Linked DNA regions of Drosophila melanogaster. The protein of the gene in region 2 interacts with the protein of the main gene of each other region in a pairwise test. Each region holds a gene or a part of one and is shown on either strand. Other genes may lie near its edges. The genes, in order: su(f) and CstF64.

Region 1 (13,662 bases), on a different chromosome or scaffold from region 2:
ACCCTCCGCCAAAAAAAAACCACATAAAGCATACCTTTGCCACCCCGTGCATGAAATTATGCTCATCCTGTATGTGCTTCCAGAACTGATCCTGTGTCTGCAACTCCTCTTGGCACGTGTGACAAACAATCCAGAAGCTATCCCCCGACAAACAGAACTCGCCCAGCTTGGTGTAGATCTTGTTGTTCTTGCTGAGGATGCGCGGAAAACCCATGGCGTTGTTTTGTTTGACTAGGTCCGGTCCTTGTGCTGTTGTTTGTTTATGTTTATTTTTTTTTTGTTTTTGTTTAGCTATCGGCCGAATGGGCACTGTCGATAGTATCGATTAATCATCGGCCTTATTTAGTGTCGAACTTGAACGCAGCTATCGCATTGATGGTAAAGAACTACATATCAGTGGTCCATAAAAAAAACTTTAATTAGGAATTATATTTACAAACGATAAAACGCATGTGAAGCTTTGGGAAAAAATCTTAAAAAACATTGGTTTCCTCAACAGGACACTCAAAAAAAGCGTTAGACATTGGAAGAACCAAAATACTTTTATAGCATTTTAAATATCTTCTATCGATATATCGATAAGGTAAAAACTTCTAAATAAAAGTCCAGAATCGCGAATTTTCTATCGATATTAAATAACTGTTGTATGGAATCTTTAAGCCTTTTACAATTTTAAAAATGTTGTGAAGTACCAAAAATGATTTTCATGCCCTCGTATGGTGGAGGCGTATATTAAATTCCTTGAAAAGTATTTAACAGGTAAAAGGAAGCGTTACCGACCCTTTAATGTATATACATATATTCTTGATCAGGAAAACTAGTAGAGTCGAACTGGACTTGTCCGTATCAATGTTTTGCTGTTTGAATAGCTCCATCTTTCTCGCATTTTCATTATCAGAATGAAGAGTTCTCCCTTACTCCTGAAAGGGTCAGTCGGTTATTTAGTTAGAACACAAGCATTATGTTAATAATTTTTTAAATAACGTACTACATAGTGTGTCCTGATTATTGTTAAGCATTGATTTAATGTGCTTTGATTACGAACTAATCGATGTTTTTTAATTTTCCGTTATGTGTATAAATGAATTTATGTATGAATATATAACAATACCGAAATATATTTGAATACAATCTTTTTTTTGGAAAAATCAATTATTATTCAATAATATTGAAGTCACTAGGAATCGTTCATTTCCTTCTGAAATTACCTTAATGCGTAGCTTAAAAGATAATATTATGGATTTTGTTATACAAATGTACAGTGGAGAAAATACAATCCAAAAGCAAAAGTATTGAGTACTTGTTATTGAAAAAATGTAAGTAACGCAAGACAGACACTTTTAAAATGATACCCTACCCGAAAACACATATGTATATTCATATGTGGCTATGTAAAATGTGAAATATATGTATATATGTATGTGTATTTACATAACTACATACTTAGGTATGTGCGATATATTTTCACATTTTGTTTTGTCTTTGCATTTCCCTACGTACAGACCGATAGACTGGCATGGATAGATCGACTCGGCTATTGATCCTGATCAAGAATATATATATATTATATGGTCGAAAACGCTTCCTTCCGCCGGTTCATACTTCTCAACGAATCTAGTATACCCTTTTACTCTGCGAGTAACGGGTAATATATGCCCCCAAACCTCACCTCCCTGAAACACCAATCTTTCTAAAATCGACACAACACACAATAAGTTCAACAAAAACAACACGACCCCAAAATTGATAAGGAAAATATTAAATAATAAGCAAACTAACGATCTTTCCTAGACCTACATTTACACAGATGGATCTCAAACAAACAAAATTACCAGCTTCGCTATTAACTACGAAATTTAACTTATCAAACGGCACATCATACTAGCCATTATTGAGGCCCTAAGAACTCATAAAAATAAAAGAGCAAAATTCTGCATTATTAAGAACACCAGGAAATGAACTCGCTGACAGCCAAGCAAGAACCGCAACAAGCCATCCACTTACAACTATTGAAAACTTTAACACACAGGACATACTTAAATATATAAATAAATGTATATAACCAACATCTCGAGGACATCAAATTGGCATCAAACATCAAGCCAAAATCATCTTAACAGCTACCATTCTTTTGCTTGGACTAGAAAAAGCATACGAAATTAGAGAAATACCTATACAAAATTAGTTAATTAAATATAAGAGGCGGTGCCACGGCCACAATTTTTGGTATCATAAAAGATAATGGCAAAAAAATTTAAATATCTTTATCCGTTCTAGAGTTACAAACTACAACAAATATAAGGGGCGGTTTCAGAACGGATATATTGTAACCCAATCTGAATATCTTTCAACGTCCTGGAGTTATTCATTTTGGGCAGAAAAAGTGGTAAAATTTCACATAGTGGTACGTGGGCAAGTTTTGAAATATTCGCACACCCTAACGACGGCAAACCGCCCAAAAGGTTCACACCCACACTTTTGTGAAATGTTATAATTATTTTTCATTGCATTTTTTGATTTTTTGCTACTTTGTATCGCTTTGCCAAAATACCTCCACCATCTCATTCGAACGCCAACCAAATTTTTTAAATATGTTTAGACTTTTTTATTTGGTTATTATACCCGTTACTCGTAGAGTAACGTAGATTCGTTTAAAGGAATGTAACACGCAGAAGGAAGCGTTTCCGACTGTATAACGGATCAATAGCCGAGTCGATATAGCCATGTCCGTCTGTCCGTATGAACGTCGAGATCTCAGGAACTATAAAAGCTGGAAGGCGGAGATTTAGCATGCAGATTCTAGAGACAAAGACGCAGCGCAAGTTTGTTGATCCATGTTGCAACGCCCACAAGCCCACGAAAAAATGCCACGATCACTCTTTTGAAAAATATATTGATATTTTTTCACATCTTTATTAGTCTTGTAAATTCCGATCGATGTGCAAAAAAAAAACTGTTTGCCACACCCACTGTGACGCCCTTAAGCCGACAAACCGGTCACGCCCCACTTTTGAAAATTGTTGAAATTTTTTCTCATTTTATTCCCCAACATCTTTTGGTATCGCAGAAAAATATCTGGGTTAACGGGTATCTGATATTCAGGCAACTCGACTATAGCATTCTCTCTTGTTATTCTAAACAATTTTATGGATATGACAATCAAGTTTCAAAGTTTCTCCCTCGTTCTCCCCTTAGTTGAGTGGCGCTAGTGGAGAAAATCTATAGCGGTTCCTTTTGTTATTTTAACTTTTTTCCTAAACTAATTTTCCATAACAGAGATAAATTAGTTGGAAATTGTCAATATATTTCTAAATTAATTTGCTTTCTTTAAATATCAATTTATTTAATAGATAGAAAATTCATTTCGTCCTGTCTGTGTTACCAAAATATTTAGAACACTTAACAAAAATTCATATAACGTTCTGTTATATGAATTGCTGTTTGATTAACGAATGATTAAAACGTTTAAAACGTTACGTTTCGAAAATCAGAAAAAAGGAAAGAAATGCATACATTATCTTAACTTCAAAGCTTTTAAAGTTTTCGAGGTGACAGCGCCCTTACACGGGTATCTGATAGTCGGGGAACCCGACTATAGCATTCTCTCTCGTTTGTTGTTTAAATGGTAGTTAATGGGCTTTGCATTTTTCTATATTTGGTCTAGATCCTGAAGGCTGTGTTGATTTTGCAAAAAAAAAAAGACCATCGATTTTATCGTTTAATACAAATACAAACAGTCTCCAAGCTATAATTGTATCCTGAATTTTTGATAAGAATGCGTTTAGTGGGATAGGCCGGTCGGTATGAGTTAAGTATGGTTTTGAGAGCCAAAAACGGATACAGTACTAAGAAAACTATAATAGAGCGCATCTTATATTAGTTCATATTCTTCAGCGTCTTGGCATGCAATCGTTTTAGTTTTTGATACCTTTGGTATATGACTATTGGTTTCCTCACTTTTGAATATTTCTCACTGTGCATAAAGTAGTCGCCTTCGTCACTGCATTGAATACCACAGTTATAAAATGAAGATTAAACTTATTCTTATCGCAATTCAACGTCTTGCGACCCACCATGTACACTAGCGCTCGGAGCCTCGTCTCTAAAAACAGTCGCATGAACAATTGCTCAACATGGAGCTGTGCCGCGACTCCTGGCGTCGGATAACGAATGCCTAGAATACTTATTGAGGCCGAAGCTTCAGCGTGACAGATGGTTGGATCCGGAGGCATAAAGTACAAAACTAAACGATGAGGATGGCCTGCGGCAGAATCCAAACCTGGCCCCTATATGCCATATTTGTAGACTGAAGTTTTTACATCTTTACATTTACATTACATTTACATATACACGTTTGTAACAACTGCCCTAAGAAGTTTTTTAGCACGACGGCTTTGCGGGTCTATGAAAGAAGTCACACCAAGGAACTGCCCTACGTGTGCGAGCATTGCTCCCGAGTTAAATCAGCATGTTAAGCGACACAGAAACCAGCAATAGGTGCGACTAGGAGTTTTATACGGCCCACGCAAGGGACCGTTCCTTGCGTGCCCATCTTAATATTCGGGACAAGCTGTGTCCGTTCCCGGGAGTTTGTGGTGGGCTAGGCACTGCCCACGCCCATCTGACCCTCCATCGCTCCGAGAAGCGCGACTCATGCTGGCCCTGCGGAAAAAGTTTCGCCCAATATGCTGGACTTTATAAGCACCGTAGACGATGCTTACCAGCTGAGGTAATGGAGGAGTGCTTCCTAGGTCTACATTCTACTCTCTAACTTTAAATTATGCAGAAATTCATTGATATAAACATGTACCATTTATACCATTATATTGAGATTTTAATGTTTACGTATACAGATATACTATTGTGAGTTATGTATAACATTTTTTTGGCCTAAATTAAAAAATATTATGTAGTATCGAAAAATGCACTTTGTCTTGAATAGTTATTTACAACAAATGTACACTTAAAATGTTTAAATGGATGCAAAGGTTAGTGTGTACTTACATTAAGAAAAATATTACAAATTTAATGCTATCGTTCAATGCAACCCTAAATGTCTACAACCGGTGATGCCAAAGCATGAAGGCAAATTCCCAAGCAGCTTCCAACAAAACTAAACCTAATTAATATGGCTTGCTTTATTGGGATTTCTTGTTTCTTGTAAATTAATTGAAAGAAAAAAGTAAAAATCGGTTTTTTTTTAACGTTTCTTAATTAGACTTGGCGAAACGCTTTAGCTGACGCAGGCGATATATATCGTGGGAGGGCGGCACAGCGGTCTGCAGTTCGTCGTCACTATCATCGCCCCCAGGCAGCAGTCGTCGCCGGCGCGGTGGAACGGCCGTAACACTGTGCTGCACCCCCGTATACGTACTTGTATCCACGATCCAGTGAACCGACTTGGCCAGATCGAAGATCTTAGGCGACAATTCGTTGTCTCCATTCGGTTGCGGTGCAGCTGAGTAAGATAATTGTTCAATGTTAATTGAAGAGAATTTCAATCAGGGACACTCACAGTCCGGAAGATTGAGACGCATGAAAATGTCGAATAGTAGCTCTACGCTGACGAACGGTCCACGGAAGGAGTTCGGTGGAGGCAGGGTGGCGCACAAAGCGGCCAGAGCTGGCGGCTGCGGAAATACACCACCTGCAAGTGGATGGGCACCAGGATGAGCACATGGACGCGGCTTGAATGGAATCATCTGGGAGAAATCCGGACGTGGCAATGGTGGCGTTGCCTCGCTATCTGTTTCGACCTCTCCGGTGTTCTGGCTTTGAGCTCCACCACCCACCTTGTTCAGTATAATGCCCACATTCTGCAGAACGAGGTGATTAAAGTAAGACAAGTAATTAAAGACAAACATTTTGTGGACCCTATAAAAAGTATTGTGAAAAGTTTGATTGGCTATAAGAAGAAAAATGTCGTAATGAACACTTTTAAAACAGTCTGTGCTAAAAAATGTTTTTTAAAATTCAGTAAGTCTATATGCTATCTCTTTCTTCTTCGCACATATAAAATAAAATAGTCTTGCTCTTTCCTTTCCAATGAGTTCCTACAAACTGTCTCAAATGGGAAAAATTATGAATGAAATCAATTTTCAAAAAATGTATTCAGACATTAAACTGTTATGGCGATTACTACACGATCACATGTTATCGTTTGATGTAGTATAACAATAGAATCCAATTATTTCGCGGTTATGGATGCTAGTTTGTTTCTTCTTTCTTCTTATATTTTTATAAATAAATAAATTCCGTTACGCACCTCAGCATATCCTATGGACTTGAGCTCGGTGCTGGTGCAGGGGTAAAGGTCCAGAAATTTGTAACGGTCAACCAGCTGGGCGGTCTCCTTGCCCTCATACTCTTTAAGCTTTAAACAAATATTATTATAACATATTTCTAAAATAAAGTAGTAAAAGAACGCACGTTTTCGAAAACGGCACTACGGCGACGTTCGACCTTAACGATGCTGGAGAGATCCCCAATATTAGATTCGAACTCGAGGAAGCGATTCCAGACCTCAACACTCTTGTGCGGCGACAAACCACCTGAACTAAGTACCCGTTCAAACAGGACGCGCGTATTATTGTCCTCGTTTAGATGGGACAGGTAGTCAATGTAGCACATCACGTACTCTGGACTGCCACCAAAACGCTTCAATCCCAGCTCGAAGATGCGGAACGCAATTTCTTTGTCCTTGGAGCAATAATACTCCATTAAAGCAGCGGCCACGAAAATGTGATAGCGCGACCTTACGTCCTCCCGAGCTTTCTTAAATATGCTACGGGCCGACTTGATCCCCTCAGCACGACGGGCGAACTTCATGTACTGAACATAGACCTGGAGTATTAAATTTCGATGGTATCAAATATTTGATGAAACATATTCAATATGTGTGTTCCTACCAATGTGGGATCAATGTCTGGCAACTGTAACAGCTTGTTGTACATAGTGTGCACCTTCTCGTACTTGAGCCGTCCTTCTTCAAAGTCCGCATAGGCAAAATATAGCAACGCATTTCGGTTTAGCACGCCGTTTATAGACCGTTCCAGTATATTAGCACACTCGTCCGCAAAAATCTTGGCCGCCTGGACGTCCTGCAATGTTTTAATAAGTAATTAAACATGTAAATACACAAAAGTTCGACTTAGTTATAAGAGTAAAACGCGTGCGGCCTGGCCAGGGGCAACGGGGCAAGCCACGGAAAGCCATCTGTGTTGTGCCACTGCGTGCTCCTTTACCCGAGGGGCGACACTTCTTAGCAAACAAGAGACTATATTTGATTCGTTTTTGGTTTTGACCTTTGCCCACCACCAAGCAAAGGCCATAACCCACTCTATTTGATTCACTACAGGAACGCAGAGAATAGGTGAAATGTTTTCAACACTAGTACGCACGCCTTTTTCGGTGAGCACGCGAGCACTGGTGTCCAGGAATTGGGAGGCCTGGTGCCACACTGCCGGGTGGTGGGTGAGCACCAGCAAACATTGCTCCGTGGCGAACATGACACGACGGGTTACTAGGGCCGTATCTTCAGTGCGCAAGGGATTAGACTTCTCATACGTGATAAAGCGCTTCCACAGCTCCACTTGCTTCACCTCCTCTTTTGTGAGTGTGGGTGGGACGGCTGGCAGATTGCGATTGAGACCCTTTGTGTGGTATTCCAACTCTTTGGCAACACGACGAGCGTTCATGTAATCCCTGGTTTTAAGTTGGAATTTAGAAAGAACATTTAGCAAACTCTGCGTATAACACTCACTTAGATCGCTCCAGACTCATCTTCTCTGATATAATCGGGTTTATGTTTTGCTCGAATGCGATATAGTCCTTCCACAACTGCTCGATGCCCACGATAGGTGTGACTACAGCCTTTTGATAGACGCGGCGCACTGCTGTGATCTTTTGGTTCTCTGCATAGTTGCCCACTGCTTCAACGCCCCGCAGAAAGTATATGTAATCCTGCCAGATGCTGAACGAGTGTAGATCCATGCCGATTTTCTCCAGTGCAAAATCATAAGCCTGGGCCATTTTTTCTCTGAGAAAAGAGATAAGTCCAATAAAATAAGCGTGTCAGAATAACACAAATGTTGTGCATCAAAAAAAACAATATGCTCGCTGCATTGCAAGTTTTGACTAAAATTATAATAGTTTCTAAGATGTCAAATTATGTGAATTATTTAAATAAGGTATAACAGTTACTTGTGAGTACTTAGACCCGACTTGGTTTCCTTCACGTAGGTAAGATAGAGCTTCCAGAGGTCGATGTTCAAAATCTTGACTAGGCAGCGTTGAAAAAGTTTCTCCACGCGTTCATAGTACCGGCTGCGCATCTCCATCTCAATGTATAGCTTCCAGTACCGAGCGGTTGTCGGAAACACATTAACTAGCGACTCGTAAAGACTGCGTACTTCGTGGATTGGCCGCGTTTGGGCCTCTCGGATCATGACACTCCAGGACTCGATGTCATAGGGCCGCAGCTCCACCACTTGCTGAGCTCGCACCAGGCGCTCCATGCCCCATTCCTTGTCATCGATAAGTAAAAATATGTTGTTACCATCCAAATAAAGCCAATGTTTTACTTACTATGTCGACTTTGATAAGGTCTCTGGCCGAAGACATTGCTAATAGTCTTTGCAAATTGTCGTTGAGTCCTGCTTGCGCTGCTCCTTGGCCCGGGAAAGTTCCTTTCTTCCGTTGAACTTTCGCTACGCAATTACCTAAAGCAACGCTTGGATGCCGCTTTTCCGAATTCTTTTAGAAGTTGCAATGCGGCTGCTTAGATATCGACGACTGATTGGATGTAACTGCGATAGTGTCATCGCCAATCACATCGCGGGCCTTACCATTAAAATCCCAAGATTTGGGATGTGTAGTACAGCGGTCACTGATTATAAACTATAAATAAAAAAGATATATGGTTTTAACATACTTTAAAGGTACTAAATCTGTAAATAATGAATTCAAGCAGAAGCAATATTTTTTATAGCTTGTTTCCACTGAAACATTTTTCTGTACGTTGCTAAGGTGAAGGTTGTTAACAGATACTTTGAACCGTTTAAGTTCTATGTAATAGTAAGTAAAAGAGGTAATATTTAATAAAAAGGCATTTTTAGGAAGCCTGGAATTGTATGCCTAGTAGCGTAACTAGGTACGAATTTTTCCTGATTACCCTATAACATTATACATTAAAACAATATAACATAATATGAGGTAAAGGTATTCTTGGTATTGTGGTATTCGAACAAACATAACTATGAAAACACACGAAAACATTATAATTTAAGTCAATGGATTGTTCTTAAATGTTTTAGACACGAGTCCAAGTGATAACAAAATTCAACAAGGTTAACGGAACTTATTTTTTGCTATAAGAAATAGAAAGTGAAACGCACCTTTCTTCAGCAACTGTAGTGTTAAATTGTTTTAAGAATTTACTTACAGAGAAATGTTTTATTGAAATTTAATTTTTTCTTTTGTTGTTTCTTTTTCATGTTGAGGGTTCAACATTCCCACAATTTAACAGTTTAAGGAATACCCAGAATCTAACCCTAGAAATAGATTGGTATATTTATCGATATTAATTCAGTACCAGTATGCGGTCACATTGGGTAAGTGTCAAAAAAGTTTTAAAACAAACGCTAAACAATCAGGAGTGGCAATCAAACGAAACCAAGCGCATTTATTAGCCGAGAGATAATTCGAGTTAAATTCGCAACTAGTATTAGTATCATTCATTGAAACCGATTTATTAAACTGCCAAGGTAGACAAGACACACACACATGTGCGTGTTTCCGGAGAGCATCACAATCATTGCAGACCTAGAGGCCAACAGCTGTTGTTGATGTCCTAGCGGTATATTTACGGTTTATAGACTTCGACAAGTTAGTGAAATTATTACCGTTCCTGGGTCACTCTCCCTTACCTAATACCTCTGTGGGTGTGTGTGCTAAGGCGCAATAAGTGTGTCACACTGACGCGGTTTTGTGTTTCAAAGTAGAACAAACACTGTGTGTGTGTATCCCTCACATATGCATTAGCTTTGTCTCTGTTATATTGGCCAATGTTTATTCCTGCATACCAGAAATAAATAAACAAAGAAATCATTCTCTAAGCTGTGTTGCAAGCACAAAAAAAATTTTGTCTGCAACGATAAGTTTTTCCCTTGATACAAATATTTATATATCTTTTGAGCCATAGCGTTTTTTCATTCTGCAAAATTAGTTTTATTCAATGTGGTTTGTATTATGTGTTTTTGACTATCAAAACTATCAAAAAATCGTGTATTAAGGGGACTTTATACCGTAAAAATGTATGTTGTCTTACTAAAATATTTTTGTTATAAAAACTTAACTTTCAAAAGGGATTTAAAGCGAATGCAACAAAACTCATTCATGAAATATACCTTATTTTGTAGCTTATTTAATTCTTGTTTAGATAGTTGTAATTAAAAAGTGCATTCTTTGCGATTTTCGGAGAAATTATAGTTTTTAGGTCCTTACCCTACTTGTTCAAATGCAGAGTAATTTTAGCTAAAAGGGAGTTAAAAATGCCTGTTGGTGAATTGATTCATTAATTTGTTATTATGTTTGTGTTTACTTTTTTGTAAAATAATTCAATATGCAACCACTACCACGAAATCAGTTGTTCTTTGCTTGGACTAGAAAAAGCATACGAAATTAGGGAAATACCTATACAAAATTAGTTAATTAAATATAAGAGGCGGTGCCACGGCCACAATTTTTGGTATCATAAAAGATAATGGCAAAAAAATTTAAATATCTTTATCCGTTCTAGAGTTACAAACTACAACAAATATAAGGGGCGGTTTCAGAACGGATATATTGTAACCCAATCTGAATATCTTTCAACGTCCTGGAGTTATTCATTTTGGGCAGAAAAAGTGGTAAAATTTCACATAGTGGTACGTGGGCAAGTTTTGAAATATTCGCACACCCTAACGACGGCAAACCGCCCAAAAGGTTCACACCCACACTTTTGTGAAATGTTATAATTATTTTTCATTGCATTTTTTGATTTTTTGCTACTTTGTATCGCTTTGCCAAAATACCTCCACCATCTCATTCGAACGCCAACCAAATTTTTTAAATATGTTTAGACTTTTTTATTTGGTTATTATACCCGTTACTCGTAGAGTAACGTAGATTCGTTTAAAGGAATGTAACACGCAGAAGGAAGCGTTTCCGACTGTATAACGGATCAATAGCCGAGTCGATATAGCCATGTCCGTCTGTCCGTATGAACGTCGAGATCTCAGGAACTATAAAAGCTGGAAGGCGGAGATTTAGCATGCAGATTCTAGAGACAAAGACGCAGCGCAAGTTTGTTGATCCATGTTGCAACGCCCACAAGCCCACGAAAAAATGCCACAAGCACTCTTTTGAAAAATATATTGATATTTTTTCACATCTTTATTAGTCTTGTAAATTCCGATCGATGTGCAAAAAAAAACTGTTTGCCACACCCACTGTGACGCCCTTAAGCCGACAAACCGGTCACGCCCCACTTTTGAAAATTGTTGAAATTTTTTCTCATTTTATTCCCCAACATCTTTTGGTATCGCAGAAAAATATCTGGGTTAACGGGTATCTGATATTCAGGCAACTCGACTATAGCATTCTCTCTTGTTATTCTAAACAATTTTATGGATATGACAATCAAGTTTCAAAGTTTCTCCCTCGTTCTCCCCTTAGTTGAGTGGCGCTAGTGGAGAAAATCTATAGCGGTTCCTTTTGTTATTTTAACTTTTTTCCTAAACTAATTTTCCATAACAGAGATAAATTAGTTGGAAATTGTCAATATATTTCTAAATTAATTTGCTTTCTTTAAATATCAATTTATTTAATAGATAGAAAATTCATTTCGTCCTGTCTGTGTTACCAAAATATTTAGAACACTTAACAAAAATTCATATAACGTTCTGTTATATGAATTGCTGTTTGATTAACGAATGATTAAAACGTTTAAAACGTTACGTTTCGAAAATCAGAAAAAAGGAAAGAAATGCATACATTATCTTAACTTCAAAGCTTTTAAAGTTTTCGAGGTGACAGCCCCCTTACGGACAGACAGACTTTACCATATCAATTCGGCTAGTGATCCTAATCAGGAATATTGTACATATATATGTATATGTATACCGCATTAAAAGAGCATACAAAAAATTTCTGAATTCTACGACATCGAAATACAAAATACAAAGATAAAAAATACTTGTAGAGTAAAAGGGTATAGTTGATTCGTTGGAAAGTATGTAACAGGTAGAATAAAGCGTTTATAGCTTCAGTTTCAGGAACTATAAAAGCTAGAATGTTGAGATTAACCATTACCACTCTAACGCCCACAAACCGCCCAAAACTAAAAAAATTTGTTTCATGGTTTTATAAGTCTTGTACATATCTACCAATTCGCAAAAAAAAATTTTGGCACGCACACTCTACCGCCCACAAACCACCCAAAACTGTCACGCCTACATTGGAATAATTTTTAAATTAGTTTCCATTTTATTATTTTGGTTTCCAATTTCTGCCGATATTCTAAAAGACATATTGAAATATGTCGTTCCACCTGAGTAACGATAGCTGGGGAACTCGACTATCGCATTCTCTATTGTTTATAACTCATTTTATGGAAATTATAATGATAATCGTCATCAGAAATTTGTTCTGATTTTTTCCTGTTACCGTCGGTTAACTCAACTTGTTTTTGTTTGTTAGTTTATCGGGCCAAAAACCGATTCGTTCAAGCTACTTTTCAGCCATCTTGTATAACCGGTTATGATACGAATTTTCTTTATAATTATGTGGTGCATTTTTTTAAAATAATCCCTGGGACATCGTTAGATAGTGTCTTTCGACGGCTTGCGAGTTCTTGCTCCTAGATTGTATAACTCTGGACCTATCCAACAACTCTACTAACGATTTTTGACATAGTTCGTTCTGTCTCGTTTATTCTGTCTTGTTTATCGTGAGTCGAGATGTCCAAATTGGACAAAATTGGCTTGTAAAAGAGGTGTTGGTGTATGCAAAAGTTGGTGTTTGCAGTTACAATGGTTAACGACATGAACGTTAGTAATTTTTCTATCAAGGGTGGACCACGCCCACTAAGCCTAAGTGTGTTTGGATTGTTGGGTGTGGGTGTGGAAGTAAAAGAGGGCACTAAATGTGAGAGTAGATATAGTTGGCTGTGTTCGTCGGGATCTTTTCAATTTAATTTGTCTACCCTGAATTTTTTTTCACGGAGCAGTAATTTAGTGATTATCGTTTTTTTCAGTCGGGTCATTCGGGGGGAACCGTACTAAAGAGTCTACTTTGTTTACTGCAAAATTCATTATTATTAATGATATGATTAAAATGAAGTTTTTTATTTATAATCGAACACAATTTTTTGTGTACCAAAATTATTTTAGTGGTTATACATATTTAAATGATTTTTTTGAGGGTATTAATAGATACAGTTTAGCAACCCAACAATTCAGCCTTTCGTTACTTTTTCAACTCCAATCCGATGTCAAACAAACAAAAATAAATCGCGAGCTGACGTGATAACAAATAACCGCAAACTGCTGTTGCTAACAGAAATTGTATTATTCGGTTGTTCAATAAATGTTCAGTCAAATTCGGATACATTAGGCGAGGAGG
Region 2 (11,082 bases):
CGAATCGAAGACGTGCTCGCCCAGGAGCGGCGATGTGTCAACGCCTCCTAGTCCTCCACTTCCACCTCCTCCACTGCCAGCTCCGATTTTGCTGAATGCCACCAGCTTCAGGTCGATCTCGTTTTCCAGGCTCCGCGCCTGCTTCCTGAGCACTGTGCGGGAGGTCGAGAGGAGAGATAGCTTATATGGAAGGTAACCATTAAGTCCCACTGCTCACCATCGTAGCTGGATCCTCCCATTTGTCAAAAATAGTTTTCCTTTATTTGTTCGACTTTCGTGTGGCAATCGGTGTGACCAGGTCAGGCGGGGCCCAAGTGGAATGAGTTGAGAGTATCGGGAAAGATTAATAGCCAGATTTAATCTAGGCCCTACTTAATGAACAAATGTTTACGAGAAAATTAAATTGTCCTAATAACTTAATGTTAATGTAAAAGGAAAAAGTACAATGTTCTTTTCCAGCCCTTGTGTGAACAGGTCCATACCGGCAGTCATCAAACTTTGGTCACACTGCCGTGCACAGCGTTTTGTTGCCGGCGATTTGTAAAAAAGTTTGTTATTGATTACATTATTTTAGACATCATGACGCAGGCAACAGGTGATGCACGCATGCCAGACGAGGAAAGCGACCTGCTGCAGATCAAGCCACTGTAAGGAATCTTGATTTAAACCAGATAGAAGCTCAAGGGTAACGCTTATATTTCAGTGGTGCTGGCCAGGAAGTGGGACGCTCCTGCATCATGTTGGAATTTAAGGGCAAGAAGATAATGCTGGACTGCGGAATCCATCCGGGATTGTCCGGCATGGATGCCCTGCCCTACGTAGATCTAATAGAGGCGGATGAGATTGATCTGCTGTTTATATCACAGTAAGTACTGCGGCGATTAAATGGGCATTGAACTTTTAATGGTGAATGCTTATATTTATCAGTTTCCACTTGGATCACTGCGGTGCCTTGCCTTGGTTTCTCATGAAGACCAGCTTTAAAGGCCGCTGCTTTATGACCCATGCCACGAAAGCCATTTACCGATGGATGCTGTCCGATTACATCAAGATCAGTAACATATCCACCGAACAGATGCTATACACGGAAGCCGATCTGGAGGCCTCCATGGAGAAGATCGAGACGATCAATTTCCACGAGGAGCGCGATGTGATGGGCGTACGCTTTTGTGCCTATATTGCTGGTCATGTTTTGGGTGCCGCCATGTTCATGATCGAGATTGCTGGCATCAAGATCTTGTATACTGGTGACTTTTCGCGCCAGGAGGATCGACATTTGATGGCTGCCGAAGTGCCACCGATGAAGCCGGATGTTCTTATCACAGAGTCCACCTACGGCACTCACATTCACGAGAAAAGAGAGGATCGAGAGAATCGATTTACCTCGCTGGTGCAGAAAATTGTTCAGCAAGGCGGGAGATGCTTAATTCCAGTATTTGCTTTGGGCCGTGCCCAAGAACTGCTACTTATTCTGGATGAATTCTGGTCGCAGAACCCGGATCTGCACGAGATTCCCATCTACTATGCCTCCTCTTTGGCCAAGAAGTGCATGGCTGTCTACCAGACGTACATCAATGCTATGAACGATCGAATTCGACGACAGATAGCTGTGAACAATCCCTTCGTTTTCCGCCACATTTCCAACCTGAAGGGTATCGATCACTTCGAGGATATCGGACCCTGCGTAATCATGGCGTCGCCGGGTATGATGCAGTCGGGATTGTCGCGAGAGCTCTTCGAGAGCTGGTGCACAGATCCCAAGAACGGAGTGATTATAGCCGGTTACTGCGTGGAGGGCACTTTGGCCAAAGCCGTTCTCTCCGAGCCGGAGGAGATCACCACACTGTCGGGCCAGAAGCTGCCGCTCAACATGTCCGTCGACTACATATCGTTTTCGGCTCACACGGACTACCAGCAGACCAGTGAATTCATCCGCCTACTAAAGCCAACGCATGTCGTGCTCGTCCACGGCGAGCAGAACGAGATGTCGCGTCTGAAGTTGGCCCTGCAGCGGGAATACGAAGCAGATGCAAGCACGGATATAAAATTCTACAACCCGCGAAACACACATGCCGTGGATCTTTATTTCCGTGGCGAGAAAACCGCCAAGGTGATGGGAAGCCTCGCAGCCAAGAACTCGGAGGTGGGAAGCAAACTCTCAGGTGTTCTGGTTAAGCGCGACTTTAAGTACCACCTCTTGGCTCCTTCTGATCTGGGCAGTAAGTAATAGTTAGTTAGTTTCTTTGTAAAAATGTCGATTCATTTAAATAATTCCCACAGAATACACGGATATGAGCATGTCTGTTGTAACCCAACGCCAGTCGATTCCCTGGGGCAGCTCGCTGAGCACTCTAGAGCTACTGCTGGATCGCATTGGAGCCGGATGCGTTGAGGTGCTGGAGGCGGAGCGAAAGCTGCGCGTGTTCGGCTGCATCGAGCTAACTGTGGAGCAGAAAATCATTGTGATGGAGTGGCAAGCGACGCATGTGAATGATGTGTACGCCGATGCCGTTCTTGCCTGCATCATGCAATCGGAGTTGGGCGGAACAAATCTGAAGGGTGCCACAAAGCAAACCAAGTCAGAGGACTCGCGCTTTCGGGAGTGCCTAATCGAGACGCTACAGGACACCTTCGGCGACAACTGCGTGCCAAAAATGTTCGAGGGCGATCTGCTGCCAGTGACGGTGAGCGGTAAACGTGCGGAAATAAATCTGGAAACCCTGGTGAGTGTTCGTCGAAGGTGCTTTTTAAAATCGAAAAATATCGTTAATCTACAATCTTTCCAGGCCATCAGCTGTGCCGAGGATGATGTGCTGCGACAAATGCTCAATACGACGGTTCAGAAGTTACACCAGACCCTAGTCTCCGCTCTTTGAAAACCATTCTATTCCGCTTAATAAATCTCCTTGTGTTGAAATGTTCTTTTTATTAATTGATTCAATGTTGAAAGTACTATAGTATGCATGAGCGAAATGGTGATTTTTCATTTGTTTCAGCCAGAGTAGTTTCAGCGCTGGGTACTCTTCGCAATCTGCTCTTTGAGCATGACAATACTGACCCGTTGCTCGGAGGGCAGCTGCGCAATCTGTTCGTCGGACAGCTGCAGTACCTGCATGATGAGGGCAGCCTTCTCCTGGTCGGAGGCATCCGAGGGCAGGACTCCATGGGCGCCTAGTCTGCTCTGCAACTGCTGAGCGGCCGCCTGCTGTTGTTGTGTCGGTGGCGGCGCTTGGGGGATTCCTTGTGGCGGCGCCTGCTGCTGAGGACCAGGTCCTGCCCTTAACCTGGGATCCATGGGACGCTGGCGCGGATCGCTGGGATAGGGGGCCGGTGGCGCCTGCGGAACGCCCTGCTGCTGCTGTGGGGGCATCTGGGCACGAGCTCGGGGATCCATCAGCGGCGGTGGCACTGGATTGGGTAGAGAAGCTCGCAAATCCTGGTCCATGCCACGGCCCATCATCCTGGGATCCATCGGCATGGGTCCACCCGGCACCATGCGCAAATCGATATCGTTCGGATGGACATTGGCCGGGAAGCCAGGTCCGGGAACGGGCATTGGTGGCTGGGGAGCCTGTTGCTGTTGCTGCGGGATCTGCACCTGCTGTTGCGGAACCTGTTGCTGACCCATCATGGTGTGATTCCCCGGCCCCTGGTGCGGATTGCCGCCCAAGACGGGGGGCATTTGGTTGGCCTTGAAGAGCATCCCGAGCGCCTGCTGAGGGTCCACGATCCTCATAACCACCATGGCCTGGAGCAAAGCGTACGCCAACTGAGGATTGAGCATTAGCATCTGGCGTGCCTCCGATGGATTGCTCACGATGCAGAGCTTCATCTGCTTCATCAGCTCGTACATTTGCTCCGGCGGCAAGGAAGCCACCGTTTTGGTGATGAGCTCGGGAGCATCCTCTGGTTCGCAGGGCTCGCCATAGGGATTCTCCACCTGGGGTCCCTGAAGCAGCTGCTGCATCTCCATGCGCGACTTCTCCGTACACGCGTTGTCCACTCGCAGTGTTCTGCCGCCGATCTCATAGCCATTCAGATTCCGCATGGCACTTAAAGCCGTCTCCTGGTCCTTGTACTCGCAGAAGCCAAAGCCCTTGGGTTTGCCACTTTCCCGATCAAAGACCAGTCTGGGGGATTGAGAATAGGAGGTTTACAGTGAGATATTGCATGGCTCTAAGTAGGGAACTCACTTCAGTGACAAGACCGGGCCCACTTCGCTGAAAATCTCCTTTAGCTTCTCCTCGGTGGCCTCGTAGGGTATGTTCCCCACAAAAACCGACCGCATGGACTTGTCCATTATACTTTGTTCCTGCGCCTTATCTGCCATATCTGTTGTTTGTTATTATTTACTGCACAAACTCGACAAAATCTTAGCAAACGTTGACAAACTTGTCTAAAAAATTCCCTGCGTTCCGGCTTGCTGTTTCTTCTTCTTCCTTGAATAATTTCCCTTACCAGGGATTCATACTTTTCATATACTTTTTGGGAAATAAAGCGGTATGGGACGCAAAATATTAAACAAAGTGTAATAACAGATACGCAAGCCATTTTATTTTATTTTCTTATCTAAACACCTGAGAAAATAATTAACAGTATTGGTCTAATTTTTGGGATTCTCATCCATTGCCATCACTTAGAAACGTAGTATTTAGCAAGAAAATAGCTAAATGCCCTGCTTAGCCAAAAATACCACCACTGCTAGTGCTGGTAAGTTCCCGCAGCCCGCATACGTTTTGCAGCACTCCAACGCCTGGTGTTGTAATTTTTCTTGTCGCAAGGTGAAAACGATTTAAACGGTTTTTGATAGTGAAAAGTGCACCAATATGCACGAATTGTACACCAAATTGTAGATGAAAGTGGCGTTTATTCGTTTTCTATGCGGCAATAGACAAAAAACGGCTCGAAGTGCATGAAAAACGTGCTTGAAAATATTACTTTGTGTGTAGCCACACGCACTCCAACACACACAAACGCACACACACACAGACAGAGGGAGATAAACGCAGCGATGGCCTCGCAGTCGCACTCGCACATATAAAAAGCTCGCTTGTATATTGGAAGAAGGAGCGCACAAAGCGGAAGACGAGAGGAAAGATTTCTGTGTCATTGAACGAGAAAAAGAAGAGAAGAGAGCCTCCTGGCTCCTGGTCCTCCTGTTCCAGTTCCTCCTCCAACTCCACTTCCTCTTCATCTTTAAGCGGCCGCAGGTGCACCACGCTCTTTACATTTCCAAGGATACGCTCTCAGCCGCTCTCTCTCTCGATCGATACTGGTAATTAGCTGGCGTCCTCTCTTTGTGGAAGTGTCATTCCATTCCATGGACGAAACGAAAACGAAATCGATGGCAATGGCTGGTGAACAAAAGCGGAAATATGTGCATTTTTAAATTGTGTGTGTCTGTAATTATGTGAATAATAATCAGCAGAAAAAAATCGTACAATAAGTGGCAAGATCAGCGACATTAACGCACACAAACAAGCGCGCGTGTGTGCACACTGGAAAAAAGGTTGGCTGGCGATTGTTGTCGCTGCAAACTGGGATACTGGAATAAATCATAATGCATTTACGCACCGTGTGCTCCTCAATTTTTCGACAGTCTGTGTGTGCATGTGTGCATGTGGGTGTTGTGTGTGCGTGGTGTGTGTAACCTTTGGCAAAGGAAAAATCAATAGCAACAGACGTAGACATTTGTTTGCCGCTGTTTATGTGCAGCCCTCGCATTGTCCTTCGCCCCCAAAACAAAGAGCCACCCTTGCAGAGATGGCCAAATCCCAAAAAAGAAACAAGTGAATGTTGGTCTGCAGACAGACTATAAATAAAAGCAAAAGTTATCGCAAAAGGCAAGCAGCAAAAGGCAAACCAGATGAACGGCCAATAACTCGTCAGCAGGCTGGGTCTGGGTCGTTGCCTCTTTTTTTCCGATTCTGATTCCGTTTCTTCCTGCTGCTCTGGCTCCCCGAGAGAAAAAAGCTGCTCCAGAAGTTGTCTCACCCATCTGCAACCGGCATTCCAATCCGCCATTTCCATTGCCCAAACAGGACCTTCTAATCAGAATTCTTATGTTGCTCTACTCAGAGAATGTGGTTAATATGAACGGATTCGAATATAAGACATGGCTTTACTAAATCAATAGAATCGATTTAAAATGGCACCTCTGATTTCGAAAATGTGGAATCGACTTTAAGGGTGACTGTGTTGAGGTTGGGTCTGCTTTGTGCTAGAAAAGTTTATTGACTCTTGTTCTCTCATTTTGATCCTTTGCGATCCTCAATTATTAAATATGCCTTGTATGTTTAATTGTACTTATTTGGTAGCTTTCTAAAGAACAAAATAATTACTGGTAAACCAAAATCATTATAATCATCATATTAGAAATGCACTCGCTGTTGAAACAATTTTATTTTTATCATGCTTTTATTTTGTTGGCTTTTAAAGAAATTACTCACTACAAGAAACTTCCAACGAACGTTTTTTTACTGATTATTTGTGCTACCCCCGATAGTAAAACATTTGTGGTTTTAATTGAGTTACTTTCAACAGTTAGGATGCACGATGTGCGAAGGGTTCTTCCAGTCCAAATCACCTTTCTATAAGAAAAGTAGGGTTTATTATTAAATTATCAGCTTTATAAATTTGGATTGGTTTTGTAAAAAGACGCGTTTGTTAAGATTAAACATTACGCATTCCGTGGATACTTGATCACTTGGATCGCCGGACGGCGCATTCTTCGCATATCGGGTATCGTTTCACCGAAGACGTTGATATCGGAGCGCAGAATGTGCCCAGGGACTGGTACAGTAATTTCTGGCACCAACATTCTGACATTCTTTATATTCTCCAATGCAGCTCACCCGCGTCGAATCAGAGGATTGAGCAAGATGGACGCCAAGCCAAGGAGATACGCTGTTTTATGACTCTGAAGGGCAACCACGCCAGTCATCCGTCGCACTAGAAAGCTAGAAGCCAGGCTCCCAGAGAGCAGGAGCAGCCAGTGAGCAGGAGTAGGAGTAGGCAGGAGCCACACATAGAACAATCTAAAATCGTCATCATGGTCGACAACAGTGTCCAATGCCCCGTGTGCACATTGTACCTGCATGCGGGCATGAATCTCTCCGATCACTTGGAGACCCATCCCAAGGAGCAGGTGATCAAGGCGCTGGTGCAGATGACGATCGTTGGGAACGGTGGCAACAGCATGGGCAGCGTTCTCGCTGCCGCCATGTTGACAGGAGGATCTGGAGGAGGTGGATCCAGCGGCGGCGAAGCCAGTGCTGATGAGAAACCGGCCGTCTTATCACCCCCTTCTGGCGGCGATGTCAAACCAGTCGTGGTCAATACCATATCAGCAGCAACAGCGCCTGTGCTGCCACCAGCACCACCACCGCTATCCTCCTCCCTCGTGGCGGCCTGCTCCAACGGAGCCGCCTCTTCGACAACCAGCTCCACACCCACCTCCACCTCAGCAAGCAACAGCAGCAGCCTCAGCAGCAGCAAACCGAGCAATCCACCGATGAAAGCACTGAAATGCTCACCGCCCACAACTGAGGCGCGAGCCAGCACATCCGCACATCCCACCACGAGCAGCGTGTCCACTTTGTACCAGCCAGCGCAGGTCACTCCGGATTATCGCTTCAACCAGCAGCAGCAGCAGCCGCAGACGTCGGGCTTTGGGCGTGGTGTCACCACCTCAACAGCCGCGCTGGTGATTCCGCAGGTGCCTCAGCAGCACTTCCTCGCCAGCCATCAACAGCAGGCTCACTTTCCACACCAGCAGCAGTCCCCGCAGCAACAGCAGCAACATTCGCAGCATCAGCCTGCTCTGAAGTTCAGCTACGCCACAGCTTTGCCCCCACCTCCGCCGTTGCAGGTGAGTCCGAGTCCCAGAAGTTATTTGTCCCGTCTTAAAGGGTGCAATCAAGATTTAATGCAGTACACCTTTGAAAAGAAAGGGGTAATATTATTTACGAAAAGTATTAAGAAACAAAATTAAAATGTATACCCACTGTACCCTTTATGCTTATATAAATTTAGTATTTATTTTCGAATTGAATTCCGTTCTTAAGCAACTCGAATTTCTTTACAGCTATTTACGCAGCAACAGCAGCAGCAACAGCAGACGGTTGTTCCACCGCAGACCCAGCAGCAATCGCACCAGAAACCACCTCCCGCCTATGGAGCCGCCATTAGTCAAATACGATCTCAGCACAACCAAAACAAACAGCAGCCACAGTCCCAAAGCGTGGCCATGCAACCCAACCTAGCCCTGGCACCAACGACGACATCAGCGGCTTCAACTTCACACGCAACTGCAGCTGTTAAGCAGCCCAGTAAACCTCATACGGAAGTATTCCTGAATCCCCCACCACCGCCATCGGCACAGCAACAGTTGCAGATCCACAGTTTAGTGCAAAATCAAGGTCAACACCATCAGCATTCTCACCCGCAGCAGTCGCAGCCGAGCCAGCAGAGTCACCAACAGCCACCGAGCTTGCAGACCTACGGATTAGGGGTCAGCAATAGCTGCAGTTCCTCCAACAACCCCTCGACCTCGGGATCTGGTCATCGTGCGAATCGTCAGACAAACTCACCGTTTGGAGCACTGCTTAATGCTGCAGCGGCAGTGGCCTGCGCATCGCCGGCCTGTCCCACCACCTCATCTTCGGTATTGAGGTTTGCAGAATCACCGGTGGCACACTACCTTGAGCGGGAAAATGGTGACTTCATTGTCCAGGAGACACCGAAGCATATTGTAGAGTGTGTGGAGAAGGAAGACGGCGAGTTTTCCGTGATCGAACGCATTTATCAATCCCCGCCGAGTGTTCTGCACATACACGATGATGATGAGGATGACGAGGATGAAGAGGAGGAGGACGAGCATGATGCTCCGCCCGAGGAAGAAGACGGGGACGATGAGCGGGAGGAGAACAGCCACAGCCGTAATATGAGCAAGACAACGAAAAAGGCCCGTAAGACGAAGCCGAAGCGAGGCTCCAAGCGCATGTCGGACGAGGAGGAGTTCATGAGCCTTAGCAGCGGATGTGAGAGTGATTTGGAAAAGGAGGGTAAACAGGAGCAGCTAAATGCAGCGGCATCACTACCACCTCCATTGTGCACGGCTCCTTCTACAAGTGCTGCGGCTGGAGCTTCCACCTCCAATCTGGCGGACAATCATTCCAATTCCGCGTCCAACTCTGCCTCCAATTCGAACTCCACCGCCACTACAAAGTCCAAGAAGAATCGAATTACCGTACTCAGCGATGTTCCGCTCAATATGAATGAGTACCTCGATTTGATGGGCAACATCGTAGCCTCCAGTCGCATTGGGGCAAGTCGACCGTTTGCCGCTGTGGCGCCCATACCACTCGTCAAGGTGGAGAAGGAAGAACCTCTGGATGATTACGACAACGTGGCAATGGCCGCTAATGAAGAGCTGGAGCAAAAGCCCAGCCTTGAGCATGGCACCACTAGCGTCATTCGAATGGCAAGCACGGCTGCAGCATCGACTTCTGCAACGGCGACCGAAACATCTGCCGAGGATCTCACTCAGCCGCCGCCCATGAAAGTCGAGGTTGAGGCGACCACCACATTGTTGCCGCAACGCTTTTCAACTCCCGCCCAGCATCGCGGGCCTAAGAAATTAGTCATCAAACCAAAACAAACAGCACCAGCGACAGCGACGACAACAAAAAAGACTGACACCCCATCTTCCCCCAGCAACAACCCATCCATATCAAGAGATCTGGTGCAAGTAAAGAGTGAGACACTGGAGGCGCCAGCGACGAGCAGTAGCAGTAGCATTCTGGAGAAGCACCTAACCACCAGCCGAAAACTTTTGCATCATCACTCGGCGGTGAACGATGACGATGCCCGGGTGCTGCTGGAGTTTGCGAACTCGAAGCAGCCGCCGCCACTGGCCGCGTCGAGCACAACGTTTGTGGTTAATGCCAGTGTAGGCTTTCCCTCGGCTGGCTCAGTTTTCGCCAGCAGCAGTACCAGCTGTTCCAAAGCACCGGCCAAGCCGGGAGAGGAGTACATCCTGCCGGACAACAACATGGACGTGGATGAGATTGTGATATCCTCGTCGTCTTCCTACACCTCCTCTGCAGCCCAGGTGCAGAACACGTTACAGCCGCCGGACTTTAACTTTCTGTACCACCAGGCCACTACAACGGCCACGACGGCCACATACTTCAATCCCTTTTCCAGGCAGCAGCAGCATCATCATCAGCAGCAGCACGGCGTCAGCGATGCCACCAATGCGGCTACTTTGGCTTCGTCGTCCAGTAATTCGTTGGACCACGAGTCGATGAATGCTACATTCCGGGTGGCCAAGACCCAATCGCTGCAGTCATGGTATCAGCAAGAGCCGGATCACGATCCACAGAATCAGGGTGGTGCGGAATCGGGAACTGTCACTCCCTCCAATCAGAGCCAGGATGTGGTTAGCCACCAGCCAACAAACTTTAACGCCGCCCTAGCGGCCGTCGATTGCTGTAGCGTTGCCTTGGACGAGGACGCAAAATATCTTGATCTAGACGCCTGCAAGCGTGAGCAGCTGAGCAGCAGTAGCAATCTGCCCTCCGCTTCCGCGTCCACAACGTCGTCGTCGTTCGCTGGCGCTGGCACGGAGAGCAGTTTGGTGGGTGGTCTGAATATCCGAACCGATGAAAAGATGCCCGCCAAGGGTGAAATTTCCGAACAGGAAAGCAACTGCGACATCGAGAACTCCTGGAGTGAGTCGGTAAGTTCAATTTCATTTCGGTCATTTTATAACGAAAACTAAGTATAATTTTGATTCTTTACAGGTTTATGGGGATATTTCGCAGCGGTACTTCAGAAACCAGTTTTCTGGCGGCTACCACCCTGATTGGCGACAGGACTATTATCCGGCTCAAGATCTCAGCGCTCAGCTGAGAGAGCATAAACGGTAAGCATTGAAATTGTATTCTGTGACGACAAGGTATAATAGTTTTTAAATCTCTTAAACACTAACAGTTTTGACTTTAATGCTGTCGATGATGAGGCTTCATCCAGCTCGAGAAGGAGCCATCTTACAGATCTCCCGACAGCGGCCACCTC

Evidence for each region.
Region 1: the proteins of CstF64 (region 2) and su(f) interact in a two-hybrid assay, tested with the Drosophila melanogaster proteins (2 studies listed by BioGRID).

What each region holds. Positions count from the first base shown.
Region 1 is NC_004354.4:23,092,656-23,106,317, reverse strand, and holds su(f) (suppressor of forked), read right to left. Parts: upstream 8,910-13,662; 5' UTR 8,623-8,909; coding exon 8,587-8,622; intron 8,526-8,586; coding exon 8,203-8,525; intron 8,039-8,202; coding exon 7,763-8,038; intron 7,705-7,762; coding exon 7,305-7,704; intron 7,101-7,304; coding exon 6,909-7,100; intron 6,844-6,908; coding exon 6,430-6,843; intron 6,374-6,429; coding exon 6,266-6,373; intron 5,817-6,265; coding exon 5,516-5,816; intron 5,459-5,515; coding exon 5,211-5,458; 3' UTR 4,887-5,210; downstream 1-4,886. Other genes in the region: ATbp ((A+T)-stretch binding protein), read right to left, coding at 35-214. UniProt on the Drosophila melanogaster protein: Essential protein, may play a role in mRNA production or stability.
Region 2 is NT_033777.3:18,652,953-18,664,034, reverse strand, and holds CstF64 (cleavage stimulation factor 64 kD subunit), read right to left. Parts: upstream 4,418-11,082; 5' UTR 4,331-4,417; coding exon 4,194-4,330; intron 4,131-4,193; coding exon 3,008-4,130; 3' UTR 2,909-3,007; downstream 1-2,908. Other genes in the region: Gos28 (golgi SNARE, 28 kDa), read right to left, coding at 1-152, 218-239; Cpsf73 (cleavage and polyadenylation specificity factor 73), read left to right, coding at 580-647, 704-865, 928-2,219, 2,281-2,723, 2,787-2,876; CG31224 (uncharacterized protein), read left to right, coding at 7,052-7,870, 8,087-10,744, 10,809-10,930, 10,999-11,082.